Tamandua tetradactyla: one gene and its partners. The protein of the gene in region 3 interacts with the protein of the main gene of each other region in a biochemical or structural test. Links are inferred from orthologs where the notes say so. Each region holds a gene or a part of one and is shown on either strand. Other genes may lie near its edges.

Evidence for each region.
Region 1: the proteins of PPARG (region 3) and TRIM24 interact in a test that uses a peptide from one of them, tested with the Homo sapiens proteins (2 studies listed by BioGRID). The link is inferred for Tamandua tetradactyla from reciprocal best matches to the Homo sapiens genes PPARG and TRIM24.
Region 2: the proteins of PPARG (region 3) and NR0B2 form a complex in vitro, tested with the Homo sapiens proteins (2 studies listed by BioGRID, with this or other methods). The link is inferred for Tamandua tetradactyla from reciprocal best matches to the Homo sapiens genes PPARG and NR0B2.
Region 4: the proteins of PPARG (region 3) and NCOA6 interact in a test that uses a peptide from one of them, tested with the Homo sapiens proteins (2 studies listed by BioGRID). The link is inferred for Tamandua tetradactyla from reciprocal best matches to the Homo sapiens genes PPARG and NCOA6.

The regions. Positions count from the first base shown.
Region 1 is NC_135327.1:181,411,344-181,418,656, forward strand, and holds the start of TRIM24 (transcription intermediary factor 1-alpha), read left to right. Parts: upstream 1-4,246; coding exon 4,247-4,610; intron 4,611-7,313. UniProt on the Homo sapiens protein: Transcriptional coactivator that interacts with numerous nuclear receptors and coactivators and modulates the transcription of target genes.
Region 2 is NC_135328.1:199,327,120-199,334,457, reverse strand, and holds NR0B2 (nuclear receptor subfamily 0 group B member 2), read right to left. Parts: upstream 2,898-7,338; 5' UTR 2,869-2,897; coding exon 2,328-2,868; intron 1,474-2,327; coding exon 1,232-1,473; 3' UTR 721-1,231; downstream 1-720. UniProt on the Homo sapiens protein: Transcriptional regulator that acts as a negative regulator of receptor-dependent signaling pathways. Specifically inhibits transactivation of the nuclear receptor with which it interacts.
Region 3 is NC_135335.1:36,552,184-36,559,550, forward strand, and holds the start of PPARG (peroxisome proliferator-activated receptor gamma), read right to left. Parts: upstream 3,054-7,367; 5' UTR 1-3,053. UniProt on the Homo sapiens protein: Nuclear receptor that binds peroxisome proliferators such as hypolipidemic drugs and fatty acids.
Region 4 is NC_135327.1:17,838,780-17,846,721, reverse strand, and holds the start of NCOA6 (nuclear receptor coactivator 6), read right to left. Parts: upstream 3,064-7,942; 5' UTR 2,875-3,063; intron 1,970-2,874; exon of another isoform or gene 1-1,969. UniProt on the Homo sapiens protein: Nuclear receptor coactivator that directly binds nuclear receptors and stimulates the transcriptional activities in a hormone-dependent fashion. Coactivates expression in an agonist- and AF2-dependent manner.

The DNA of each region.
Region 1 (7,313 bases), on a different chromosome or scaffold from region 3:
TTCAGTTTCAGCTTCTTGCTTCCTATGACTTCTTTCTCTCTTTGTCTGAATTTTATTCTCTTGTAAAGGGCTCCAGTAATAAGAATAACACCCATCTTGGCTGAGGTGGGTCACACGTTAATTGAAGTAGCCTCACCAAAATGTCCTACTTACAATGGGTTCACACCCACAGGAATGGGTTAACTATAAAAACACATTCTTCTGGTACATACCGTTTCAAACCACCACAAGTCTCTTCAACAAATGGGAAAATCAGATCTCCAGTCACAAAAGAATGAAGGTAGTCTCCTACCTTACATCATATACAAAAATCAACTCAAAATAGTTCTGGCTCTTATATTTAGTTTTTTTTTATCTATCAAACTCTTAGAAGAAAACATAGGAAGACATCTTCAGGACCTTGAGTTAGGCAATGGTTTCTTAGACTTTTCACCCAAAGCATAAGCAACAAAAGAAAAAATAGATAAATGAGACCTCACTAAAAATTAAAAACCTTTGTGCATTAAAGGACTTTATCATGAAAATAAAATAACAACTTACACAATGGGAGAAAATATTTGGAAACCACATAGCTGATAAGGGTTTAATATATCGAATATATAAAGAAATCCTATAACTCAACAACAACAACAAAACACCCAATTAAAAAGTGGGCAAAAGACATGAATAAATATTTATCAAAAGAAGATATACAAATTATCAAAAGCACTTGAAAAGATGCTCAATATCAGTAGCCATTAAGGAAATACAAATCAAAACCACAATTAGATGCAGTTTCACACCCACTAGAAAGTCTATTATTTAAAAAACAAAAGATAAGTACTGGAGAGGATAGAGAAATAGATATACTTATTCATGGCTGGTGGAATAGTAAAATGGTACATTGGCTGTGGAAGAAAGTTTGAGGTTCCTAGAAAGCTAAGTATAGAATAACCATATGATACAGCAATCCCACTTTTAGGTATATACTCAAAAGAATTGAAAGTAGGGACTTTTTGCACACCAATATACATAGTGGCATTATTCACAATTGTCAAAAGATGGAAGCAACGCAGTTTCCATCAACTGCTGAATGGATAAACAAAATATATATACACATGTACTGGTTTGAATCTGTTATGTGCCCCAGAAAAGCTTATGTTCTTTTAATCCATCTTTGTGGATGCAGACCTATTGTGGGTTGGAACTTTTGCTTTGGTTGTTTACACGGAGATGTGACCCACCCAATTCTAATCCTTTTCTGGAGTACTTTGAGAGAGGATAAAAGACACTAAAAGCCCAGAGAGCTTAGAGAGAAAACTCCCAGAGACATTTGGAGACAGTCATTGAAACCAGAACCAGGAGAGAAGGACCAGCAGATGTCGCCATCTGCCTTCCCATGTGACAGGAACCCCAGAGGCCAGCAGCCTTTCCCCAGAAAAAGTATCTTCCTGACCATTCCAAAATGGTTCCCTCTTAAAGGACTGCAGTAAGCAACCCCACCTTGAATGGGCAAAGTCAGATCTTCATCTAATCAAAAGGTCACACCCACAATTGGGTGTATCACATCTCCATGTAAGTAATCCAATTAAAGTTTCTGCCCCACAATATTACATCAGGATTAAAAGAGATTTGACTGCTCCCACAAAAATTGGGTCAGGATAAATTCCTTAGGGCAGCTTCAAGCCAAGGGAGGTCAAATGTCTGGGTCAAGGCAAGTGGATGGCAGCTCCACATGCCCTACTTTGATCAGAGATGAGGGACGCTTGTGCTGCCCAAGTATTCAGTTTTTATATACCCACAGGGTGATTGAGCAAGTATTCATCAGGCTACCTTTGTGCCCTGGCAAGCAGCTGCAGTTGGTTGAGATTCAAGATCACCTAGCTGCCTGTGGTCTCTTGCAAAATAGAACATGCCATACACCTGCATGCAAACAAGCAAAAATGGAAACATACTGAACACCTGCATGCAAACAATTGAGAGAGGAAAAGGAGATATTCACTAGTATCTAACTCTCTTGCTCTTTTCACCGACTCCTTTCTCTTCCAACTCAAACAACTCTTATCTCCTCTCTCAGAGCTGGTGATAGTGATGGTGGCACAGTTTAGAAAATGGCAAGTATTCCAATTTGTTTGAGGCAAGATATGGGAAAGCAGTAAGGATGAGTCTGGAAGTTCAGTTAGGTTGTGTCCTAGTTTCCAGGATGCTATGATAAATACCACAGGATGGGTTAGCTTAAACAATGGGAATTTATTATCACACAGTTTGGGGGCTAGAAGACTTGCTTCTCCTGGGGTCAGTAGTATTCTGCCAGGCTGGCAATCCTTGGGGCTCCTTGGTTTTCCCATCACATAGTGATGTCTTCTCCTTTCTCTTCCAACTTCTGCCTGCCTTCTGGCTCATCCCTGTGGCTTTCTCTATTTCTTTTGTTCATCAAGGACATCAGTAAACTTGATTAAGACCAATACTAATTCGGTTGGCCACACTTTAACTACAAATAACATTTTCAAAAGTCTTATTTATGATTAGCGTGCACCCAAAGGAATGGGATTATAGTTAACACTTTTTTTTCCCTAGCCTACGTAACACAATCTTCTGTAAGTAATAAGGGCTAATAATCATAGAGGGACTGATAAGTGAGCAAATAAATTTGGGATAGGTCTCTGTACTGTAAGGATGGTTCTGGATCACCTTATAATGATATATAAATATTGAATGTCATTAAGTAGAACTTCATGGTGGAGTAATTTATGGATACTAGATTTGAAAATCTGCTTAGGAAAGAGAGTGGTAGGTGGAGAATAACTGGGAAATTGTTAGGTCTTGTGGGAAGACCGATTACTAGAATTTGCGTTCACCCATTGCCATTCAATGTATTCTTCCAGGATCATATCCTAACAAAGCCTTTCTTGATCCCATGCCACTCTCCTCCAACGTCCAGAACTCTTCATTTATACTAAAAAATATAATTAAAAAAGGCACTTAGGAGCAATCTTTTTTTACTTTAATTTCTTACATTACTTGGTACATAGGCTTGTTTTACCACCCTGTTCCTTATACGCGTGGACATTTTTTAGTGAAAATGTGCGTTCTGTTACAGGATGGAGAAGAAGAATAATATTGAAGTCATGAATTAGTTGGACATCAGTTTTGAGATTTATTTTTATTTTTTTAAAGAAAAATGATATTTTGTTCAATAAAGTTTTTTTGCAATCATTGGATTTTAATTCATAAAATCCCTGGAAAATGCACTATAAAGATTCATTTAAAAAGCAAATCATTGACATTAAAATGTAATCATTTTCATTGGAGAAATCATCAAAAAATTTCCCATTGGCAAGAAAAAGTCCCCGTTTAATCTTCATACTCAAATATTCATCATACTGGGTAAATTCAGGTGGTAAAAATCAATGCTGCCTTAGTGGTTTTTTTACACAATAATTTTCCACCCTTCTTGTTATTCTCTTGTTTGTTCTTCACTGCCTTCACTTCATTCTCCTTTTACCCTAACAGGAACCCCATTTCCAGTAGTAGTAAAATAAGAGTTTTTGAAGCAGTTAATTAATGGCATTGAGTAGATACGATGGAGCTCCGCCCCGTAGGAGGGGCAAACACAAGCAGATCGAATTAAGTGGTTCGTCGTTAACAAACGAACCCTTAATCTTTTCAGGAGAGCTAAACATCCACAAAGGCCCAATCAGAGGCCGCAGTTCTCGGAGTTCGAGGGGGCGGAGCTGGACACTTGCCCTCCCACCTCCCAGCCTCCCGCGGGGGCCGAGTGAGCCTCCCGGGCTTCGCCCGGCCCCACCCCTTCGCCAGGCACGGCGGCTATTGGCCGGTGCGCTCTTTGCGGTCGCCTCAGTTGCTGGGAGAGGGAGGGCGGGGGCGGGAACTGAGGTAGGCAGTGGGGTAGGAGAGAAAGGCGGGTAGGCAGCGGAGCGTGAGGGAGGAGGCTAGGGTGGGCCGGGCGGATTCCGCGAGCACCGCGGCGGTTGGCGAAACGGAGGGGGCGCAGCCTCCCGGTGCGAGAAACGGTCCCGGCTGACAGATCCCGGTCTTCCGGCTGCGCCACCCGGGAGGCGGATCCCTGGGGCCTGAGGAAGCTTCTTCGGCCCGGCTCCTCCCCTCCTCCCTCTCGCTCCTGAGGGTCTACAGAGCGGTCTCTGAAGAGAAGGAGGAGGTCGTCGGGGGCGGCGGCGGCGGCGGCTGCGGGCGGAGACCGCGCTCGCCCTTCTTCGGCGGCGGCGGCGGCGGCGGGGGCAGGACAATGGAGGTGGCTGTGGAGAAGGCGGCGGCCCCGGCGGCGGCGGCAGCTTCGGCGGCCACGGGGGGGCCCTCGGCAGCGCCGAGCGGAGAGAACGAGGCCGAGAGTCGGCAGGGCCCCGACTCGGAGCGCGGGGGCGAGGCGGCCCGGCTCAACCTGTTGGACACTTGCGCCGTGTGCCACCAGAACATCCAGAGCCGGGCGCCCAAGCTGCTTCCTTGCCTGCATTCCTTCTGCCAGCGCTGCTTGCCGGTGCCCCAGCGCTTCCTTATGCTCCCTGCACCGATGCTGGGCTCGGCTGAGACTCCGCCGCCCGTTCCCGCCTCTGGCTCGCCAGTCAGTGGCACATCGCCGTTCGTCACCCAAGGTGAGAGCTGACCGTGGACGCGTGGGGGAGCCCGGGCCGGGGAGGCGGGCGCCTCTGTGCGCCGGGACCCGCTGTCACGTCGCCGCCGCCGGGGAGCTCGGCGGGGGAGGGGCGAGGAGGAGGGTCTGTGTTGGCGGCGGTGACATGGTGGGCCAGCGCGCTCTGCAGCGTTCCGCGCGTTCCGCGAGCAACTTCCGTGGGTGCTGAGGACTTGGCAAAGCTGCTGCTCCTTTTGCTTCTGAGCATTCTCCTCCAGGGTTGGGTGGCCCATGTGACCCGGACTTTTGTAAACCTCTCGAACTGTGCTGTAGTCTGTATCTCGGGTTCTTTGCTGCTGCCCGCTGTATACCGAAAGCTTTGTCCAGGTCCATCTGATTCTAATCATCTCCTATATACCCACGTTATTTGAACTGGAGTGGGGAAGGGAGGAATAAGGATTAAGTGATGCGGTCTTTATTTGATGATTGATTGTAGGTTGGATGCCGTCTATTTCCTGTTTTGTGTATTTTGGGTTCGTTACCTTAATGCGTGTCTAATTGTCTTCTCTCCCCTCTGATGGGACAAAGGAACCAAGAGACGGTGTTTTGTCTTTCCCTTTCAAAGGTTTTATTTTTAGAAGGTAAACGGTGAAGAAAAATAGAACAATCCAAAGTGATTCGGGGCAGAGATTCTCCAGTATTTTTAAGACAGCAGCTGGAAATGCTTAAGTTACAGTTCTTTTTGTGGTGTTTGTTACTGTATAATGAGACTTTTGACAGGTAGTTCCCGTTGCTCGTGTTAACAGGTTTGAAACATTTAAAGTAAGTTATAAGCATAGTAGTTACTTGTTTCTAATAGAATGCTTGAAGTTTTTAAAATTTTAATATTGAAAATACTTGAGCACTTTTTAAAAATACCAAATAACTGGAAATGGGGAATTATTTTAAATATGCACTTCTTAGAGAGAATAGTTGAATTAATTTGAGAAAATGCTAATTAAATAATTGAGGTCAAGTGGTATATAAAATTGAGGCTCCAAAGAGATTGTGGTCTTAGAGTCTAATTAATTAAATATCAGGAGCTGTGCTAGTTGTGAGAAACACCATGGATCTCTGTTTCTGCACGTCATGTCTGTGAGATACGCCCTTTGTTTCATCTTGTTTTTTTTTCAAGGATATTTGGAAAATAGAGAATAGTGGCACATATGTTTATTGTCCACATAAAAGACTGAGGTTCCCTAAGCATAGGGTTCCTCTTCTGTAACACAACTGCTGCCTGTGCAGGTGTCAACCCGCCCTCTTCAGTTACCCTCTGGGAACTGGGGCTGGGGCAACCAGTGCAAAAAATGCTCATGTTTGGCTTATGCTATTGTTTTAAGTAATAAACTGTTCTTCATTACTTCTGCCAGCATTCTACCGTGATAGGCTATTTCATTAACTTGCAAGTAGGGTGCAATTACAGATCCTTCACACTAATTTGCTCTTCAACATTGAAGTGGCCCACCTCTTGAAAAGTTAGTACAGGTTAAAGTTAAATCTTAGTTCTTAACTTTTAGATACATTTTAAGGTTTCTTTTATTTAAACTTTAAGTGGGAAAATAGTCTGGTAACCAATTATGATCTGAGATTTGCATCACTTTAGAATTAAGATTTATTGTGTGCCCGGCAGTGACATTTAGACCTGCAGAATGAGAATATGGGTTATAAAAGCTCTGATGCTTGATTCTGAGACAGGTTTGCAAATTTAGACTTCTCAAAATAGTCTACATAATTCTAATCTCCAAATATTTTTTATCTTTGTGTTTGTATTGAAAGCAAGAGTTCAAGGAAAGTAGTTAAATTGAGAGATACTATTTTTATTATGTACTCTAGTGGAAGACTAAGAAAAAGGTCTTTAATAAATTATATTTTAAAAGACACCTCTTAAAAAGGGTTGGTGTTATCTTCAATGAATTAAAAAATGTTATCCTGATCTTGCTGACTTGAGTATTTTTCTCTTTCTCCTTGCAAACAGATTTTAATACTAGCTGAAGCAAAAGTTGAGGTGATGTATTTCATAACTAAATAAATGGGGTTCATTTGATCATTTCTACTCTTCATTATCCTGAACAACTTGTGGATTCAAGGCATTGTGAGTTAAAACTACAATACCTACAGAGACTAAGCACAAAATTGAGATGGTGAACAATGAGCCTGGGGGGAAGGTAATAGGAAAAGATGGAGAGTGAAAAGGCAGCAAAATGTACTTAGCTCAGCAGTAGAGAACAGGACCAATGTTGAAGGATATATATGTATGTATGTATTATTTTTTTAAGTGAGAAGTCTGTGTGTGTGTGTGTGTGTGTAAAATTTCTCTAGTATTAGGTATTTGTAGATAATTAAAGAAAATGTATAGATATAGGTCCGTACTGTAGGCCAAACAAAACAGCTTTTGTTGCAGCCCCTTACCATGTTGGAGTTTGTACTCTTCCTGTTTAGATTTAGATACAGATTTTCAAACTCTAGTTCTAGTAGAATCACCTTGTATTCTTGTTAAAAGTTTACATTTTCAGTCCCCTCTCCACAGGGTCTAATTCTACTTAATTTGGAATAGTTTAATATTTCTAGAGTATAATATTAAAACTTGGTTTTCTTTATAATTCAATCAGTATTGTTCCAGAATACAGTTCATTCGTAAGAGGATTCTTTAGAAAATTAAGATCAAATTTCAGGGTTTAGAGTAGTA
Region 2 (7,338 bases), on a different chromosome or scaffold from region 3:
GACAGAGGCTGGGGCAGAAGGGCAGTAGAAGGGGACCCAGGGAGGGAGCTGTTAACTGCCTGTCATGGAGGCATCTCAGATTCTTAACTTGTGTAGCTGTAACACTGTGGGCCAGCTAAACTTCATGGAGGCATCTCAGATTCTTAACAACTTGTGCAGCTGTAACACTGTGGGCCAGCTAAACTTCATGGAGGCATCTCAGATTCTTAACAACTTGTGTAGCTGTAACACTGTGGGCCAGCTAAACTTCAGCCTGCCTTGGCCTCTAAGCAGCTTCTAGGCAGCCCAGGGAGACTTTCCCCCCACACACACTCCCCACAACTAGGAGAAAAATGGCACATTCTTCTATGGACTACGGGGAATGGGGGTCGGGTAGGGGAATGAATTGTCCCAAACTTGCAGAAATTCCAGTGAGCGTCTCTGTTTCAATTTGGGAATGGGCTGCTTCATTTTCCTGACTGACCATGATCAGACTCACTGAGGTGAATGGAAGCCTGTAGGGGATGGGACCAGGGAAGAGTCGGTAGGGGTTGGAGATAAGGGAGAATCCTCCCCCCGCCCCACTCCCCCACCAAGGATAAAGGCAGATATGTAAGGGGCTTGGGAACTGATGCTATCCCTTGGGTTCACAAGCAGAGGCAAAATGCATCTCATCCTCAGAAATGAAATCATCATCTCACTCTGAGAAATTAATACCCTGATTCCCTGAGACCCAGCTCCTACACCCATTATGGGTTCTTTCCCTTGGGCTCCTACTCATAGGGGCAGGAAGGGCCCTGGAGGTGAGGTGGTTCTTTACCTATGTACAAACCACAATGTCTGGCTCCAAAGTGTCACACCTTTTATTACAAAAAGTAATAATTTAAGTCAGTTCTGTACAAAGTAAGTAGGACTTCTGGCCTATGAGCAACCTAAGCCCTCCATATCCCAGGAGGAGACAGGAGTCTTGGTCCAGAGACTCTGGGGATCACCAAGAGCTGGCCAGTTGGCTGAAGCACTGTGTCCAAATGAGGGAAGTCCAAGATAGGGCCTGGCTGGAGTGAGGGGCTCCACAGGCCATCTGGCTGAGCCAGGCTCAGCTTGATCCTAGAGGGCTGAGTGCTGGCTATACAGGCTTAGTCCTTCCAGGAGCATCAGGTCACTCCTGGGGACAGGCAGGCCAAGCCAGATTGAATTAACATTGCCAACCTCTGCACAATCTACACTGGATCTCTGCTAGGGCCGGGGCAGATCACCTCAGCAAAAGCACATCCTCGAGGAGGCTGGTGATGTCAGTGTCTCCAATCACCGGGCGAAAGAAGAGGTCTCTGAGCAGGCTGGGTGGAAATGACTTGAGGATAGAGGCCATGAGGAGGACACGGGCCAAGCGGATTTGGCCTATTGGGCACTGGGGCTCCAGGACCTCACATAGTGCCTGATGAGCCTCCTGCTGCAGGTACCCAATGTGGGAGGAGGCGTGGAGGCCAGGCACATCTGTAGGCAGAGAGGGTGAGAAGGCTGGTTAGCACCCCACTCCTAGCCACCAAGGGACGAGACCTGAGGCTGCCAGCAGGCACTGCCCTGCTTCTTTGCTCAGCTTTTAAGGCCCCATTCCTACTTCATTCATTTATTCATTTATCTTTTTATTCATCATCCATTTATGGAGAGGCAGCATAGAGTAATGGTTAAGAGCCGGACTACCTGGGTTTCAATCCCAGTGCCATCCCTTATTTAGTGCACGACTGTGGACAAGTTACTTAATCTCTGTGCCTCAGTTTCCTCATCTATAAAATGGGGCTAATAATAATACCTACTCTTAAGCTTGTTATGATGTTTAAATGATATTTAGTATATGTAAAACCCTTAGAAATAAGGTCTAGCATACAGTAAGTATAATATGTGTTCACTATTATAATTATTTCAGTTATAATAATAAGTATTATTATAATCAATTGCTATAATTTAAGCATTCCACAGGGGCCATTTGGTGGAATAGTCTTATCTTAGATGCTCTCCAGATTATAGAGAACATGGTCTCCATCTGCTGCTCTCCTAGGTGCATTTCACTAAGACTCCCTCCCTTTTCTCTTTTACACCCCCTTCGTTCTTCCTGTCTGTGTGGTCTTTCCAGACCTATGGAGTTCTACCTTCAGAACCTCACCACACAGTCTTCCCCTTTCTCTTCTCATCTTCCCCTCCCACTTCTCTCTGAGTTTTTTCTGTGTGATGAATATTTAACGATAATGGGGAACCAAAGAGGTGATGGATGTCAAGCCCTTCAAAGGTACCCTCCCTGGATGAGTCCTCCCTCCACTTTGGCCCCCATCCCGGAGTGTCTGGGAGCTCACCAGGGTTGAAGAGGACTGTCCCTTTCAGGTAGGCATACTCCTTGGGGCCCAGCTCCAGGCTCCAAAAGGACTCTAAGCAGTACTGAAGCCACTGCACTGCAGCCAGGGAGGGCTGGGGCCTGTCGGGCAGCTGAACACTGCCACGACTGCTGCCAGGCTCCTCCAGCAGGATCTTCTTGAGTATGCTGGGCATTGGGGCCTCGGCCACCTGGAAGGTCACAGTGTCTTGGGCCAACCCAAGCAAGAAGAGGGGGCCCCAGGAGCCCCGCAGCAGGCGCTGCTGATCCTGGACGGGCAGCTGGTAGAAGGATGGCAGGTTCTTGAGGAAGGCCACTGTCTTGGCCAGAACGTCCAAGGCCTCCTGGCAGGTGCGATGGGGAGCACACAGGCGGACGGGTCGGTGCTGCCTGCACAGGCAGTGGCTACGGGATGCTGGGACTGAGGGCCTGGCCCCAGGGCTTGGGCTCAGAAGTGCATACAGGATGGCTGGGCGGCCTGCAGCACCTCGACATGGGCAAGCCCCTGGCTGGCTGGAATTCATGTTTCAGAATCTGCTCCTTCTTTCTCCTGGCTCTTTTGCCCTCTGCTCTGTACTGTGGGTGCTATTTATATCCCTCAGGGTGGGGGGTGGGAAGGAACGGCCCCAATAGCCTTGACTCCAGAAGTCATGTTCATTGAGAAAAAAAAAACATACTGACCCTGGCAGGACTGGCGGGGAATGGTGGGGGAGGAGGGCAGTAGAAGCTCCACGTGGCGCTGATATGGCTTCAGTCAATGTAGGGGCCACTGCAGGGCACAGGCTGCCTGCCCGCTGGCCCGTTGCCCCTTATCGGATGACTCAAGAGAATATAAAGGGTCATTAACCCAGGCTGTACCAGGACACCAAGGTCTCAGGTGCACAATCAGCAGGTGGCCATGACAGGTATCCCAACTGGTGCCTGCTCTTTTAGGCACAGAAAACCAGGGCTTTTGCTAAACTGAGAAGCCAGCCCCAAAAGTGGAGAAGCCTGTTGTATACTCAAAAAACAAACAAAAAAAAACCCAGCACTCTTCCTAAGCCGGGAAGCCAGTCCCAGCAGAGCTGGAGAAGCCTTGAATGCAAGGCCCAACCAGGAAGTGCCTTATCACTGGTTTGTTTGCCTAGCCTTGGGAACGTGTTCCTGCTGTCAGGAGGAGAGCCAGGAAGAGAGCCAGGACCCTGGGGGCTGGGAAGATTATGCCCACTATGCAATCAAGGGGTCCCCTTTCTCTGACTCCAGTTCTGGGTGCCCTGCAGAAATGAGGTCCTTCAGAACACTTTCTCCCCAGCCTAGATTCCTATAACTCCTAAAAGGACATGTCTGCCACGAAGTCCTCATGGATCGATAATGAAATATGGCTGCTCTTTATCAAGGATCTGCTACGTGCCAGGCACTTCCCATGTAAATATTCACAGCTTCCCTATGAGGCAAAGGTCTTACTTTGTGAGACTCAAATTGGTGAAGCAACTTGCCCAAGGTCATGCAACTGGGAAGGGTCAGAGCCTGGATCTACCTGATTCCGAAGTCCTTGCTGTCCCTCTGTACTCGCTGACCCAACATGCAGCCAGAGCTATGCTACCTGACTTTCTCAGAGCTGGTGGCTACCTGGGCCCCCACCTAGCTGCTTCCTGGTCTATAGGTGATGCCCACTTGTGATCTGGAGGGAAATATTGCTCTGCCCATCCCCTGGGTCCTCTGTCCTCAGATGGTAAGACATATGGTATGAGAAGGAGCATGAGTCTCCTTGACTGTGTCACATCCCTGGACTTTGGCATGTCCAGCCTGGCAAACTTCTGCTACCACAGTGCCAGGCAGTGTGGTGCCCTGGACAGAGAGTGATAGGCTCTGGCATCATCCAGCCCTGGCATCTGCTCCTGGGTCCATCACATACTAGCTATGTCCTTGAACTGATCCTCAGACCTCTGTGGACCTCAGGAGTTTCTTTGGGGACAATAATATCTGTCTGCAGAGCTGTTGTGAGGACCAAGTGAGGTTCTAGATGTCAAGTTCTAAGCAGTTTGGGCATTCATTTGGGGACTTTGCTCTTTTCCTCTCCCTAAGGAACTAAGCACCAGCACACAAACAGGCAAATATCTTTCATTTGCTTGTGAATAATCTTAATTCCTTTCATTTGTTAAGTTCTTTCTATGTCCTCCTACCTCACTGGATCCTCACACCATCCCACTGACGGAGACTCTAGAGTCAGACTGCCTGGGTTCAAATCCTGGCTTCATCACTTCCTAATGAGTGACCTTGGGCAAGCCACTTCACTTCTCTCCTTGTCCTCAGTTTCCTCATTTGTTGGGGGTAGGGGAGCATGGGCCTGGAATCGAAGCTGGGTCCCCCACATGGTAGGGAAGCATTCTACCATTTAACCACCTGTGCATCACTATTTTCTCATTTTTAAAGTGTGGCAGAACATTCAAGAGAGGATATTGGTTTTGTGGGGCTAGAAACTTACACAGTTTGGAGGGCCTTCTGTAAGAAAAGAATTGAAAATCAGGTGTGAAGGTGAATATTAACAAAGAGAAGATAAATCACTACAAATTAAACTGACAGAAGGCACAAACATCCCTAAACTAGGAGAACAATAAAATATTTTTATTCATCAATTGCCTGATCAATTTGCCTACACTTTGTAGCTGCATAATCTTTGCTTAGCTCTTCATATGTCAATGATATTTTAATTTTAATTTTGGAGCATTCACAAACTTTCAGAAAAGTCCTAAGTACAGTAGAAGGAAGCTTTTTTATTTCCTTCACCGTTTGAGAATACTTTGCTATTTTTTTTTTTTTTGCCCTATAACCCCTGAATACTTTAGTGTATAATTCCTACAAACAAGGACATTCTCCTACATAACCCCATATGTTTTAGTCTGCCAAAGCTGCCAGAATGCAATACATCAGAGATGGATTGGCTTTTAATAAAAGAGGATTTATCTAGTTAAAAATGTATAGTTCTTCAGAGGAAAGGAGCTAACTTTCAACTGAGGTTCTTTCTTATGTGAAAAGGCACAGGGTGATCTCTGCTGGCCTTCGCTCCAGGCCTCTGGGTCCCAGCAACTTTCCCCGGGGTGATTTCTTTCTGCATTTCCAAAGGACAGGACTGAGCTGTGAGTGCTGAGATGAAGCATGCTGAGCTGCTTGGCTGTACTACACTGAGCTCTCACATTTAAGCATCCAGACAATTAAATCAAACATCATTCATTGCAGCAGACATGCCTCCTAGCTGACTGCATATGTAATCAGCAATAGATGAGCTTCATATGCCATTGGCTCATGTCCACAGCAACAGAACTAGGCACCTACACCTGGCCAAGTTTACACTTGAACCTAACTACCACATGTCTACCCCTTGTCAACTTGGCAACTATACATATCACTTTAAACGATATTAAAGTGGCAAAAAATCTCTTCTGGCTGTGGACCTATGAATCTCAAAACAAGTTATCTGATGCCAATATGCAAAGGAAGGACAGTCACAGGATACATGTTTTCATTTCTATAAGGAAAAATTGGAGGGAACACAGGAGTCACAAGACTCAAACAGTTCTGAAAACTTGCAGGGCAAATTCCATTGGATTTCAAAGTCTGAAAGTCATATATCCTTTGGCTTTACAAAGTGGCAATCCCACCCTTTCCAAGGGCCTATGTGGTGGCCCACCTCTTTCTGAATCAACCTCAGGGGACATTGAGGAGACCACCTTTTTCTTGGCTCCAAGCATCGGGGCCACACCTGGGCTCTGCCATTTCTGGGGCACACGCTCAACCCCTCCATTTGATGGTAGCCAGGCTCTCCCCAATTCCCAAGGAGTACCTTCTCCAAAGCCTGAGGTGACACAACTCTTCCACTGCAATGAGGTGGGAGACTCATCCTCTGCCTTCAGGGAAAATTCACTCTCTCCATGTATATAGGTGGGTTCACTCTCCTGGCCTGAGATTTCTTGGCTTCAGACCTAAGCTTCCATGGTTCTCACTCTGCAAACTCCAATTTGTTCTTTTTGTGTCCCACTTTGTTCAGATTGGCAGTGGTTCCACTTACACCAACAGTCTCTTCAAGCACTCCAGGACTTCTCCATCATTCTCTTCACAGTTCCTCCCAAATCTTCCCCTTATCCATCCAAAAAACTGTTCCAGCATGTCTGGTATTTGCAAACTGCAGCAGCACCCCACTCCTGGTATCAAATCTGTTTTAGTCTGCCAAAGCTACCAGAATGCAGCACACCAGAGATGGATTGGCTTTTAATAAAAGAGGATTTACTTAGTTAAAAACATATAGTTCTTCAGAGGAAAGGCAGATAACTTTCAACTGAGGTTCTTTCTTTGCGAGAAGGTACAGGGCGATCTCTGCTGGCCTTCTCTCCAGGCCTCTGGGTCCCAACAACTTTCCCCGGGGTGATTCCTTTCTGCATCTCCAAAGGCCTGGACTGAGCTGAGAAGTGCTGAGATGAAGTATTCTGAGCTACTTGGGCAGAGAGCTGCATTGAGCTCTCACATTTAAGCTTCCAGCCAATTAATTCAAACATCATACATTGCAGCAGGCACACCTCCTAGCCAACTGCAGATGTAATCTGCAATAGATGAGCTTCATATACCATTGGCTCATGTTCACAGCAACAGAACTAGGGACCTTCAGAGCTTCTTGGAGTACTGATTGATTCCAAGGCTGGGGCTGGAGAAGTAAATACTTTTTACACCAGAAAACAAAGAGGTGTTCAAAGAATGATGGGGACATGGCAAAAGGACATAGACTCCAACTGGAAGGAATTCCCATTGGCCTAATCTGGGACAATCTGAGCATCAAAATAAATAATGATAGTTGCAGATTGTAACCCACTGAGTAAAATAGGAGGCCATCAGTACACACCAAAATAAAGAAATAAATACATAGTTTTCAATTTGCTAAAATGCTGCCAGAATGCATTATACCAAAAATGGATTGGCTTTTGCAAAAGGGATTTATAAAGTTACAAGTTATATTCTAAGGCCAT
Region 3 (7,367 bases):
TTCACACTGATATTCTGTCTATTTCTTGTAAAGGACTGATCCATTAAAAAAAAAAAAGAAAGAAAAAAAAGAAGACGACGACTTGCAGTAACCGAACACGTGAATACACCAATGAGTCAAGACCTCCATTTCCAAATATTTGGGAGAGGCGGGAATAAACACCAAAAGGACCAGGCCTGAATTGGCAGGCCAGGAACTATTAAAAGAGCCAGCTGTGACAAAATGTTGTGTCATAATGTTGTCCACTGCTTTGGCAAGACTTGATATATTACAAGGAAAACATTGCCACACTGTCTGGCCAGTGACCCACATGCAAAGTGTCTTGTGAGGGGCACAGACCATAGAGTCTTGAGAATTATCAGAGCACAGAGGTGGTTCGATAATCAGATGCTTCTTAAAAGGTACACTTTAAATCTCCATGTTAAGACATGCCGGGTAACTTTATTTGGACAAAGTTTCTTCTAGCTGCTCAGCTTCTGGTTGAATTATGAATCCCCTCATCTGAAGAAAACTTTGGAACTCAAATATGTAATCATCTTTTTATTTTTATTTTTTTCTCTCTATTATCGTTTTATTTTTTTCTGTTGTCTTTCTATTTCTTTTTCTGAATCGATGCAAATGTACTAAGAAATGATGAATATGCATCTATGTGATGATATTAAGAATTACTGATTGTATATGTAGAATGGAATGACTTCTAAATGTTGTGTTAATTTTTTTAATTAATAAAAAAATAAAAAATAAATAAAAATAAATAAATTTGGTATCAGCACGCCACTGAAACGTTATATCTGTAAGGCATTCTACTGCTTTTCGTAGTCCCAGATGACACTGCCTGCTGCCCAAATTCTATAAAATTAAATAGCCGAGAGAACGGAGACAAAGCCTGACACTCACTAAGGTTTTACTTATCGGGTTTACATTTTTAAAACTTTCAGCTTTATCCATCAGTGACAAATGCAGCAATATTGCATCAGCTGATGTTTGAACACCAGGTGATGTTTAAATGATAAGTGCCATGTCATAATGAAAAAAAACAAAACAAAGACCAAAAAAACCACTCTCTTCACTCTCTGTGAAGAATAGCGCGTTACCAGAAAAAAAACAGAGAGTGACGCTGATAGGCTGGCGAGGAATTGTGGTCAGTTTTGTAATCAGGAAAAAGCTGGCTTCTTGCTCAAGGCCTTTGCCCTTTTTGGCAAGGAGAAATGCTAGCTGTGCCAAATGCCTAATGTGGGAGCAGGCCTTTTCTTGTCACATAAGTGGCCCTAATAAAACTGCAGTGACTTGTGGACTTAAAAAGATACCCCCACGTACGGCAGAAAATCAGATGGCAATAACCCTGTTATACTTACCCCAATTTTCCCCACATGGAATATATATATAGTTCATCTACATTCAGTTTCTCAGGTTAAAGCAAGTTTCTTGACAGTCCAAATGGCTGAGGCATTTCTAGTTGTGTAGAACTAGTTTTAGCCATATTCAGTGTGAATTCTAAATAAACACCTTGCTCCTTCCCTCTCAATGCTGGGAAATTTATTTATGTTACAAAGTAATCCCGACACGATGACATAATATTTGAGGGTGTGGTTCAGTGTAAGATTCTTGATTGGATTTTGGGTGAATCAAAGTAAATTATTAAAGTCAAGGGTGCTTTCGTTCTTTCTAATAAAACCGAACAAAAATTAAAGTGTCATTCTGCCTACAAATACTCCTCCTCAAGGTTCCAAGATGTGTTTGTGTCTGGTAGGCAAATTACAGCCGTATTTACTATTAAATGGCAGTATACAAACCAAGCAATATACAAAGCAACCCAAGCCACTCACAAAATGTCGATACAATGCAGACTATCTGATCAAATTTCATATTAAATTTCATTATAATATTTTGTCTTACAATACTGTAGAGTGAGTTTACTTCAAACACAATTTGCTCACATAGGAAAAAAATGGACCAAAATCAACTGGGCCAAATAAATTGAGTAAAATCCATTTCCATCTAATTACAGACTTGTTGGGTTCTTAGACACTGAAAAGATTTATTTTACATCTATCCATCACTTGTTCATTCAACATTTGTCAAATGCCTACTAAATTCCAGGTATTATTCTAGGCATAGAAAATAAATACATTAATAAGCCAAGGTTCCTGTTCTCAATGAGTTCATATTTCAGTGTATTTATTAAAGTTATCCCAAATACACCTACAAGAGTGATCTCTTAACTGATTTTAACTTCTGAATGCCAATTATCATGCATATATATCAGAAATAGTATATTTGCTTAAACAAAGTCTTTCTTATTGGTGGACAGCGTGTGGTCACCAGAAAATTCATGAGATTACACATGCATGTGAGTATTTCTACCATTATAGTTTCAGCTTTCCCAGCATCCAATTCTTTATAATAAAAAAACCTGAAGATATTATAAGATGCTTTAAAAAATGATTTCATTGGAATGGAATCATGGAGGTTTCCACCTAACCAAGGAAACCTCTATATAGAAGTCTACTGCTATTCTGTACAGAAGCCCCTAGAAGGAGAGTCCTTGGTAATTTTATGGAGTAAGGAGTGGTGGTAAAAGAGCCACCTTCCTTAGGCACCATGCACAAAAGCTAACTCAATTCCTTCTACTGAGGGATGTAGGGCTCTGCATGATCTAGAGGTTGGGAAGGCAGCTCTTCATGAACTTCTGGATATCTATAATGTATGTGGTTATGTGTATACTACCAAACCGGCAGGAGGAGATAGAATGGGGATAATCAGGAATGACTATTCATGAAGAGGGTGAAAAGTTTATTTAACTCTATCCTGGTTCATGAGTGTGGAAAACACTTGACAGTCTAGTGTTAGACTGAGATGAGACAGCTACTCTTTGATATTTAGTCTTCAATATTACTTTATGGAATCTGTCTTTGACCAAAAGGAAATAAATAATACTCAGTCCCCCAAAACAAACTCCTCCAATTCAGTACCTTTAGGAGAAGGCACCTAGACTAATAAAAGTGAATGATTTGGGGGGTGTGAGGGTAGCTCAGTAGTAGAATTCTCAGCTGCCAAGCAGGAGACCCACGTTTGATTCCCAGCCCATGCACTTCCCAAACAAACACAGAAACCAACAAAAACAACAAACAAACAAAAAATTCAACAAAAATTCAACGGGATACTCACATGGGAAAAGAATGAAATGTGACCCCACTGTACAGTATACAAATAAAAATCATTTAAAAAAATGAATGATTTTTTATTAAAAAGGCAGAGAAAGCCTAAAAAAAACCCATAGTTAACAGAATCACTGTATTTTATCTGTACGAAGTTCTCCCCCCCCCCCAAGTATTGTACAGTGTTTGGCATGATTTAAGTCAAAGATCACCATGAAACAGGATCTATATACTTTTATGTTGGGTTATTCTTGAAAGCTAATTAAAATTTTGCTTTTTAGCTACAACTTAAATTTGGATTTTATCCTCTAGATTGGATTTTAAAAACTGCTTTCAAAGCTCTCTTTTTCTTACATGTAAACTTTGGATGGATCGGTATATAATATTACCTAGAGTCTTATTTTCTTTTGCTATCAACCCATTTTCAAAAGTTGCTCCATTAGTGAGTGTTACTAAAACTTAGGCTCCTCCTAAAAGTTTAGGAGCTCCTTGAAAGAACAGCATCTTGCTCCTCTCTGTATCTCTGAAGTCTAGCCCAGTGTCCCTAGTTGGCATAAAAATACATGTTTATTGTTTTTATTGATGTGAATGATGACAGGGCAGCTGCTTGCCACATTCCTCTCACATGGATTATTCAAGGAGGAGCTGAGAGAGCTAATGGACCAATAACAGCATCAATCTTCTTGCTCGGACAAGACTTGAATTTCCCTGTGGTGCTCTCTCTGGAGGAAGTGAGATAATTGCTAACGACCAGCATGACTGCTGCAGCACATGCCTCCCCTTACCCAAAAGAAGTGCTGCATTTTTCAAGTGCAATTAAAGTTGGCTTGGAACCTTGTCTTCTGCTGGTGGTTGCATCAGTTCAGGGTTTCTTCGGAGTCAAAGGGCAGACAACATGGGAAGAATGATGTGCCAATGGGACACATGCCTTTTAGTGGAACAAATAATCTGTCTTCTTAGAAGTAAATTCCACCACCACCCACCCAGCAAGCTGAGTCTTCCCACAGAAAGACAGGGGATGGCCAGTACCAAAACAGACACGTCTCATTTGCTTTTGTCTTTTTTGGTAGAGAAATTCATTCTTCTTTAATCACGAACTCTAATTTGGTTTCAGAATTTTAAAAAGAAACGTATTTTCGATACAAGATTAATATTTTAAACCACTATGCCATCTTGATTTTCAATACTAACAGAATGAAACTACGTTACCTTGAAACCAACAGTTTCAGTTGGTGTGTGTGTATATATATATATATATATTTTTTTTCTTCAGTTGGTGTATAATTGATCTTCAAAATCCTGATTCAGATTCTAAAGTCCTAAAGCTTTTACCTGGGCTCAGCCACAAATCTGCTGGGTCCTTTCGCTGGTCCACACGTCTCACCTATAGTGTAGTCCATCGATAGTTGGTCCAGATGTCTCACCTTTCTGCAAAATGGATTAATCCTTAAAGCCCACTGGGGTCTGACATTGAGATGCCTACAATTATTTTACTGGAAGTTGAATAGGTATTCTGTATATTATATTCTTACTCATGTTTGAATTCTGAGTTTTCCTTTTCATATCTGACTGGTAATTAGGGGACAGTATAAAAGGTACTTTTGTCTGGAAAAATAATGCCCAATAGTAAAACTCTCAAAAAGAAAAATCAGTTGAGAATTTCCTTTTTTTCCCCCCCATTGCCTATAGTACCTGAAAAAGAGCCTAACGTGTCTGACCACTTCTAGGGATCAATTAAAAACTTTTCAAATTATTGTATCTTTGAACCAAAGAAGTCCACCTAAAATATGCTGACTTGTCTTTGCAGGTAATTTTTAAAATTCTCTAGTAATTGGGTTTCCATAGGCTATATTTTCAACCGACCCATAGGTATGTTACGGGAAATGCGAAACCTCTAAAATAGCTAGCTATCTTCTTTGGTTTTCAGATTTTATCAATTAATTTTTCCAGATTGGTTATATAGAGATTTCCTGGGTAACCTATCCAGTCATTGGTGAGCCACGTCTGTAAGGGATGTAACCCACAGATATCCTACGAGCAAGCTTGGTGTGCTTTATGTAAAGTAAGCAGTTTCCCCGTTCTGTGATCCTGCTAAAGGAAACCGACTATTGAAATCTCAGACTCACAAAGCTTAATACCAGGAAGGTTACACATATTCGCTCTTAGTTTTTCATGGAGGGAAAAATGGGTTCCAGAGAAATTCAATCAGTTTGCCCGACGTTATGACCCAGATAGAGAATAGCCGAGTTTGAGCCAGAAATCAGGTTTCTTGATTCCAGTCCAAAGCTCTACACTGTGCTCTCCCTCATTAAATTATTACAATGAAACGTTCACAGGAATTGTTCCTATCAGGGATCCTGAATGCCAACAAACATGTAAGAAGTTCATCGGCATAAAACCATTTGTATTATATGACTCAATAGGGACGCATGACCCACAAAAATATGAACGGTCACCCCGCAGTTCAAGGTCAGTGAGTTAGGATTTGGTAATATTTTTATTTTGCTAATAAATGCCCTTTACTTCATTCCTATGTTCTTCATAAGCCATCATAGAATCTTGGGGATCTTTTGGTACCAACAGCTTTCTACTGACACAGTTCCTTGGCCTTATGAAAATAATAGCATTATTATGTGAAAATGTCCACTTTGAGGTAACAATGCCCCAATTTAAAAATACCTTAGATGGTGACTGCATGATAATTCTGTATTTTTGACATGATTTTTCTTTAAACCCATGACTTCTCAAAAAAAATAAATGAGACATAACAAACCAAAAATACCTTGCCTGTATATTATTTAATTCAGCTGATACAACAATGTTAGGAGATTACTGAAAGCAAAACAAGAAAATAATAGCAGCTATTGAATAGGGCTGCAGCATGGAATAGATGATTTTTTTGGCTGTAAAACTCTGCCCATAGGTCTTTGGTCAGTATGGCAAAAAGAGTCAAATAGACCTGGATTGAATTCAAGCTCTGTCACCTACTTTGGACTTTTAGTTTGGGTTTTTTCATCTAAGAGAGTAATTATGAGACTTAGAGGATATGATTTAAATAAATCAGTGCCTGCAACAGAGTAGGTCTCAAAATTAACATACTATGAATTCTTCCAAGCAAAATTTAAATTTGACTGGACTAATAAAAAATCAATCCAATGGCACTTAATTAAGAAAATAACAAAAAGAGCAGTCACCAAGTAACCCTCCCATTACTTTTGTGTTCAAATGAGCTACATAAATAATTTTCAGGCAGGTAGGGTATACAAGTAGCATATGGAATCTTCAAAAACAAATATGAATTTTAAAAGTCCACTCAGAAGAAATAGACACATTCAAGCCACAGCTGTAGTCAAAGACATTTGATATAGAATAAAATATATCTGTGAAATTCATACATAAAACTGAATTTTAATGAAAATTAAACAATGGGTAGTACGGAAAATATTTTTGGGTCTATTTTCCATTAAGGGTCATCAATCCATCAATAGTAGATTGGGCCAAACTAAATGTTTACTGTCTTCGTTAGATGCATATTATCAAAATAACAGCATTATATTTCCACTCCCCAGAGCATTATAAAATCGGTTCCATTCTAGGGCTCTACATTCTGATCTATAGACTCTGTCTTAAAACATTAGTGAAAATTAGCAGACTGATAAATATAAACTAGCTTTAAGACTCAAATTTCACATTTATTGAGCACCTACTCTGTCAGGCGCTCTGCTAAGTGTTTTAAACTAGAACATCTTATTTTGACCATAAAAACGACATGGGCTTGACAGGTAGCTCCCTCTTTTTTGCAGAAAGGAAAAGGGTGAGGCCAATGTCAGGATTAGATAATTGGGCTATTACAGACCAAGCAATAGACACAAGTGTCATATAACCAGGGATACAAAGATGAGTAAGACTGGGTCTCAATTCTCAAGTCACTTTCCTCTTTTTAGTGAAGAGGAGTAAGACAAGTATAAATCACAGTACTGCAAGAGAAAGTAGGTGAGACTTGAGACAAGGACAAATCATAATGACCAAGTTATTGTAGTACCTTTTCTTTGTGTCAAGCCTCATGTAATATAGTACCACCAATTTTTATCCCTTATCTCTAGTCTTCATAACAACCTTGTGAAATAGGTGAGTATCATTAGTTTACAGATGAGGAAACTGAGCCTCAAAGAATTTAAGTTATTTGCTGAGGTCACATAGCTAAAAAGT
Region 4 (7,942 bases), on a different chromosome or scaffold from region 3:
CTTGGCCAGGTGAGCATACCTAGTCTTGTTGCTGAGGACATAAGCCAATGGTGCGTGAACCTCATCTGTTGCCAATTACATCTGCAGTCAGCTAGGAGGCGTGTCTGCTGCAATGAGTGACGTCTGACTTAATTGGCTGGTGCTTAAATGGGAGATTGCAACGTAGCACTGCTAGCAGCTCAGCATTCCTCATCTCAGCACTCGCAGCTCAGCCCAGGCCCTTGGAGATGCAGAAAGAAGTCTCCCCGGGGAAAGTTGTTGGAACCCAGGGGCCTGGAGAGAAGACCAGCAGAGACCATCCTGTGCCTTCCACGTAAGAAAGAACCTCAGTGGAAAGTTAGCTGCCTTTCCTCTGAAGAGCCAACAAAATAAATCCCCTTTTATTAAAAGCCAATCCGTCTCTGGTGTGTTGCATTCCAGCAGCTAGCAAACTAGAACAGCATGCAATAGTAGTTTTCCCCCATACCCCTCTATTATTGATTCTCTGTACAAGATTCATACCTTTGAACGAGTTCATACAAGAACTTATATTTGTAGTGTTAATCCATGGGACACATGAGTCTATACAATCCCTTTCAATCATGTTCACCTTCAATGTAGTAATATTACTTATAAATCCACTAGTGAACTGTTTTCACTTCTATTCATTCCCTTACATTTGAGTTCAACCTCATTAGATATCTCAAGGTTCTGTGTATCTCTAGGTCCCCTATATTCTATATTATAAGTCTCTGATTTTACCTTTACCACGGTCATAAAAGCAAAATCATACAGTAATCTATCCTTTTGTGTCTGACTTATTTCATTGAGCACTATGTCCTCAAGGCTTATCCATGCTGTCATACACTTCAGGACCTCATTTCAGGACCTCATTTCGTCTTACTGCTGCATAGTATTCCATTGTATGTATATACCACATTTTGTTTATCCATTCAACTGCTGATGGGCACTAGGACTGTTTCCATCTTTGGCAACAATCTATTTTGATTACTGTATTTCAATATAATTGGTTTCCTTTGCAGCCTATGTATTTTACTTTACACAATTAAAAATATTATTCTGAGACAGGTTCCTAGGCTTCACCAGATGCTAAAGGGATCCATGCACAGAAAAAGTCAGGATCCCCTGGCACTGGAAAAATCCAGAACAAGGAAAATATTACTGAGCACACATACTGTACTGAAAATCTTACTGTTATGAATGCTCCAATAATCTTTTTGTGGAAAGTCCTTTTTTATTAATGAGGGCCCTGGACCTACTATATCATGACTGATTTGCATAGGTTCTCTCAGAACTCTACCACAGCCCATCTGATCTTTGTCCTCTTCTCTGGCATGATCAAACTTCAACTAGATCCTGGATTTATATCATTATTCACTGTTATATTTTTAGACTTTTTGTGTCACTTTACCGCACAGTAAACACCTAGAAGAAAAGGATCATCTCTTAAAATTCTAGAAAGTCCAAGGTCAAAAGCATCTTGAAAACAACTTCTTTGCTAGAAGGTGGGTTAGAAAATATCAAGTCACCCATACTTTTTTGTATAACAGCCTTTGCAATGACAAACTCAGTACAAAACCAAAATAAAATCATTAACAGTTCTCTGATATATAATGTCATCCTTGACTTTTAAACACTTTTCTCCCAGCTAGCAAATTCCTCTAAGGCAGTACACTGAATGAGGAGGCAAAAGACCTGAGTTCTAGTCCTCCTTCTATCACTAATCTGCAAGATCTTGGAAAGTCAACTTTACCTTTCAATGTCTCAACTAAAATCACTACATGATCTGAAATGATTACATGATCTCTAAGGCCCTTAAAATTCTTTACACATTCACGTCTCTTCACCATTTTTACTGGCTTCAATAACACATTTCTGATGTCAATCTCCCCAGGTGACCCTGCTCTTAAGCAGTGGGCTGTCCCCTTCCTGGGAAGATACCTTGTGTCACCACCCTCCAACCGCCCAGTCCCTCCTTTTAAAGACACACACAAACTCTCTAAGTTTATGGAGGTTCTCTCTCTCCTTGCCAACTATTTCCACTCTCTGCATCCCTTCTGCTCACCAGCTTCTGTATCTAACCTAGCCTCCCTCTTTTCTATTCCTATCCAAGCCCTTCCCTTTTTCTGTTGCTCCCCCTCAACAGGAGTTGGGGGATCCTGGGGACACCAAAGTCCTCAGTCCCTTGGGGGTTATATGGACTTGCAATTCAGCCCCGGGGCTCCGAGGGCTATTCCAATAGGATAACCAATTCTGTCCTCCAAGGGTCCCTGTTTCTGGTCGCTCCTCCTCCAGAGAACTGTCCCAGTCCTGACAGCCTGAACTCGGCCGGCCCTATCAACCTCTGGGTCCTACCTGTTCTGGGGTCCTGTACAACGCCCATGGCCTGACCCTGCCCCAGGTCCGGCGCGCGCACGCAGCCGCGTGGACCTCGACCCAGGTTCCATTTGGACCCTGTGTCCCTTTTCCACAACCCCGGTCACGGCCCCATGGCCGGCTTCGGCCAGTTCTCCAGGCGCGGAGCGCCACCCAATGCAGGCGTCTGCTCGGCCCTGCACTGCACTCCCTCAAGTTCCCGAACCCGCGTCCCGCACCCTCCCCACCCCAGGCAAGGCCCCAGCTCCCTCCAGCGCCCCCGCCCGCAGGCCCCGGGCCCGCTCCCCAACATGGCGACGGGGACACGAGCCCGACGGACGGACGCGCGGGCGGGGCGGCTCCCGGCAGAGCCCGCACTACGGCCGCGCTCCGCGGTCGGTCGCCGCCATTTTCCCGCGCCGGGCCGGAGCAGTACCTCCTCCCAGCTGAGCCAGCCGGCCGGGGCCATAGACGCCCGGCAGGCCCACCCCTTACGGGCCTGCGTCGCCGTCGCCTCACCTGAGCGCAGCTCGCCGGCCCTCCCGGGCGGGCCTCGGAGCGCCAGCCCGGGCCGTGCGTGCCCGCGGCCCTCCGTGCGTGTGTGCGTCCGTGCTCGCCCGCGCCCGTCTATCCGGCGGTCCGCGCCCGGCCGCCAGCAGCCCGACCCGGCTGGGCCTCAGGGAGCCGGAGGGAGGGGGATGGGCCGGACCGGGCCAGGGAGGGAGGGGGAGGGAGGGAGGGAGAGAGAGAGGGGGAGGGAGCGCGGGAGGGGACGGGGTGGGCCAAGGGGCGGGGCCCTGTCCACGTGATCAAACGTCCTTGGGAGCGCTGGGCGGAGCCCGCGCTGGCTCGCGTGGGTGTGGATCTCTTAGACCTGAAATCCCATGGGTTTCTGTCTGCTTACCAGCACCAAAATCTCACCAGGGGCACTTGATCCTACTTTGGAAGCACTGCACAACCCTTTGGGAGTGCTCTGGCTAAATGTCTTAGGGCAAGTTACCTTTCCCAACCTCAGTTTAAGTATCTGAAATATTGAGATAATATTAATGTTTGCGAAGGGGAAATGAGGGAAGGTGTGGAAAGCACTTGGCACAGTGCTTAGCACTTAGTGTCTAATAATATCATCAATGATGATAAGGATAGCCTTTATTATTATTTGCCTGTAAGTCCCTCTCTGCTTTTCCCCATCACCACCATGATAGCAAGTTGAGTAAGTGCTTAATAAATATATCTTTTGACTGAACAAGTGAGTGCAGCTCCCTCCCCTCTCCCCAAATGTCAGGAGGCTTCTGCACAGGGCTTGATGTTTTACAATCCTGGATTCTGATCTTTTACTCTTGACAGTTGTGTTATTTTCTTTGCTTCTCCGAACTTCAATTTCCCCATTTATAAAAAGGGCGTTAAGGGCGGGCCACGGTGGCTTAGCAGGCAGAGTTCTCTCCTGCCAAGTTGGAGACCCTGGTTCGATTCCCGGTGCCTGCCCATGTTTAAAAAAATAATAAAATAAATAAAAAGGAAGGTGAGTCTGTCATAAACATCACAGAAGATAGACGATGAGCAGGTAGATTGTAAGCTGCTTGCACAGCTCAGGAATAATGGTCCCGTCTAAAAAAGGAGTCAGGGCCCCTTTAATTCCATAGATATTTATTGAGCATACACCATATAACTACATCTTCCGTGGCCCAACTCATTCTATTCTTCACCCTGCTGTCAGAGTAATGTTTCTAAGTCAGAAATCTGATCATATCACTCCCCTATTTGATGGCCCCGCATTGTTCTTAAGATAAAAACCCAATAAATATCTTTCTGTTTGCCTCCCTTTCCCTTCTCCAGGTTAAGGCCCTCTTCTCTGTTCTTTGGGCTGCAATGACAGTGGCTTTCTTAAATTCTTCACAGGATACCCTCCTTCCTCAGGACCCTTGCGCATGCGGATCATTCTGCCTAAAATACTCTCTGCCCTTTGGTAATGCATCAATTTTCAGGTTCCAGCTCAAACTCTCTAACCCAAGAATACCCTCCCTGATCACCCCCCAGAAAAGTCTTCTTAGCACCATGTGCTTGTCCTTGATGCAGAATGCACTAGATGGTTTACCACTAGACTGTGGATTCCACAAAGAGGGAGACCTTATCGTCTTGTTCACTGTTGTGTTCTAAGTACATAGCACGGTGCCCGGCACCTGGCACAGAGTAAGTACTCAATAAATGTTTGTTGTGTGTATGAATCCTGGCCACCAGGATAGATGTTGGATCCCAAAAGGACAGAGAAAAGCAAAGAGAACCACGAGGGGACACATACTTCCAGCCTATCAAATTAACTCCAAAGGAACTTTAAAGGAAGCTGGAAAACATTTTTGAAGCTCTTTAACTCTTTAAAATTGAGATATAATGCAAAAATCTTAAGTGTAATACCTAATACATATTTTTAAATCTATGCTCCTGTGTTACCAGGTCAAGTTACAGAGCATCACTATCAACCCAGAAAGTCCTCTTTTGTATCCTCACATGTGTCCTCTCCCTTTACTGGAGGAAATCACTACTCTGACTTATAGCACCAAAGATTAATTTTTACAATTCTTGAGTTTAAGATAGAAGAACTATACAATGTATACACTTTTTGTATTTAGCCTAGAAATCTAACATAACTAAAGAATGACTATTTGGATAATGATACAGTTTATGAATTTCTCGATTAATTCATTAATTTGAAAGATTAAGATGTGACCACGCCATCCTGCTGAGACAGGGGTCCTGCCATCAGCTGGTCCAAAAGCTGACCTCTTAGTCCCATAGAAGCTTCTAAAGGTAAGAAAAGTCTGCAGGATTCCAGAACCTGAGTGACTACCTCATTCTTCATTATCTTATTGGTGTCCTTAACCAAGGGTCATGTGTTTTCCTTAGATCAGGCAGGAAGCAGGGAGCAGAGGAGAGAGGGGCCCACTTGAGCACCTACACATCCTGTTGGTGGAAAGAGAAGGAGCATATGCAGGGTGGCATTGAACTGTAACAGGTCATGAGCTGGCAGACAATGTAACATAATGATGACAAGATTGGGCTCTGAAACCAAAATATCCAAGTTCAGATTCTAGCTGTGCTGTTTATTAGCTATGTGATCTTGGATAAATCCAACCTCCTAATTATATAGATAGGGAAACTGGACCAAAGGGAGATAAATGACTTGTCCAACAGAGTTCAGAATATTCTCCCTTCTTTGTTTTTAATCTAAATATGATTGATGGGGGGGGGGAGGGTGTGTACACACCCCTAGTAAAGTGTAAGCTCCCCAAGGAGACTATTTTTGTAATATTGCCATTTGTAATGTTTTGTACCTCAGTTACCTCATCTACAAGATGCAGATAATAAGGGTAGATAAGGTTTTCAAGAGGATTAAATGAATTAATGCATCTAAAATGCTTAGAGGAGTGCCTAGAACGATGACAGCCTCAATAGACACCAGATTGAACGAGGCCCCTGAAGAAGGTATCTGGCTGTTTTGCAGTGTTTTGAGCAAAAACAAGCAGTCCTGAGATACCCAGTTTCTTATTCTGGATTCAGACGTGGGTAAAGAAAATGCAAATCAATTTTTCTTTGGTATAAGCGGTTTTACTAATTAGCAGTTTTGAACTTCTACTTTCATTTAGGTGTCTGCATGGTCTTGAGCTTTGTAGTGATAAGACTGGTGGTGAATTCTTGAAAGACGTCTTTAAGAAAATAAGAACAGAGAGGAAAAAATCCATAACAAAGCCACCTAAAGAGCACCAACATTCTGTTGTCTACAGGCTTTATCCTAACAGTGCCAAACAACAGGGTTCCCACATTTAGCTGGGCAAGCTACAAGAGGGCGGCACCTTGGCATTGTAGATCTGTACATTTATTGTGCTAATTTACCAGCAGAAGGCAGTATAGTGCCTTGCTAATACGAAATCATTTCATAACAATTTTCAGACAAATGGAAATAAAATGCCCGAGAGGATAGGGTCAGTTTTTTCTACTTCACATAAAAGCTTAATATGGACAACAATGCCTTTCCCTTCAGAAATAAGAAGATTGAAAAATAGAAGAAAACAGAGCAATAACTACACGACTGAAAAAATTGAAAAGTATCAAAAACTAATGAAAAGAGATTCTTAGGACTAAAAAACCTATTTTCAAGAAGATTCTGAAATTCCTGTCCTTTGGAAAAAAAAAAAAACTTTGTCTTAGACTATAGTATAAAGACATAAATGTGAATGAATCATAAGTGTGAAAACCTGATGAATTTTTGGAAAGCGATCATACATGAAGAATCAGTGCTCAAATTAAGAAATAGAACATACCCATACCCATCAAGGGCAAACAATATCCTGACATCTAACTCTGCAGATTAGCTTTGCCAGGTTCTAAACTTTACATAAATGGGATCATACATAAAGTACTCTTTTGAATCTGGCTTCTTTTCCTCAATTTTCTATTTTTGAGATTCATTTATAATGTTGCAGGTAGTTGTATTTTGTTCACTTTCATTGCTGCATAGCATTTCATTATTCCATGTACCACAATTTATCCATTGCACTCATGACAGGCATTTAGGTTTACACTTTAGGGCTATTTTTAATACTACTACCGGAATATTCTTGTACATGTTTTTGGATGAACCTATGTACAATTTTCTGCTGGGGTATGCAGAATGCAATATATCAGAAACAGAACGGCTTTTAAAAAGGGGAATTTATTAAGAAGCAAGTTTACTGTCTAAGGCGTGAAAATGTCCAACTTAAGGCAAGGCTATGAAAATGTCCAAATTAAGGCACCAACAAGAGGTTACCTTCACTCAAGAAAGACCAATGAAATTCAGGGTGTTTCTCTCAGCTGGAAGGGCACATGGTGAAGTCAACTAGCTTTCTCTCCTGGTATCTTGTTTCATAAAGCTCTCCGGGAGGGTGTTTTTCTTCTTTATATCCAAAGGTCTCTGCCTGCTTGGGCTCTCATGGCTCTTTCCAAAATGGTTCCCTCTTAAAGGGTTCCAGTAAGCAACCCCACCTTGAATGGGGAAACCATTCCCCTCTCCTTTGGAAACCATTTAATCAAAAGTTACCACCCACAATTTAGTGGGTCGCATCTCCATGGGAGCAACGAAAAGCTCCCACCCAGCAATATTGAATGAGGATTAAAGGACATGGCTTTTCTAGGGTCCATCACAGATTCAAACAGACAGAATACAATGGTTTTTAGTATATTCACAGAAATGTGTAACCATTGCCACAGTTTTAGAACATTTTCTTCACCCCAAAAAGAAACCCTGTTCCCTCTACCTATCACAGCCCTACACTCTCATTCCACCAGACCTAAGCAATCCATTTTCTGTCTCTATATATGTGCTGGTTTGAAAGGATGTATGTCCCCTAGAAAAGCCATATTTTAATCTAAATCCCATTTCATAAAGGCAGAATAATCCCTATTCAATACTGTATGCTTGAAACTGTAATCAGATCATCTACCTGGAGATGTAATTTAATCGAGAGTGGTTGTTAAACTGGATTAGGTGATGACATGTCTCCACCCATTTGGGTGGGTCTTGATAAGTTTCTGGAGTCCTATAAAAGAGTAAACA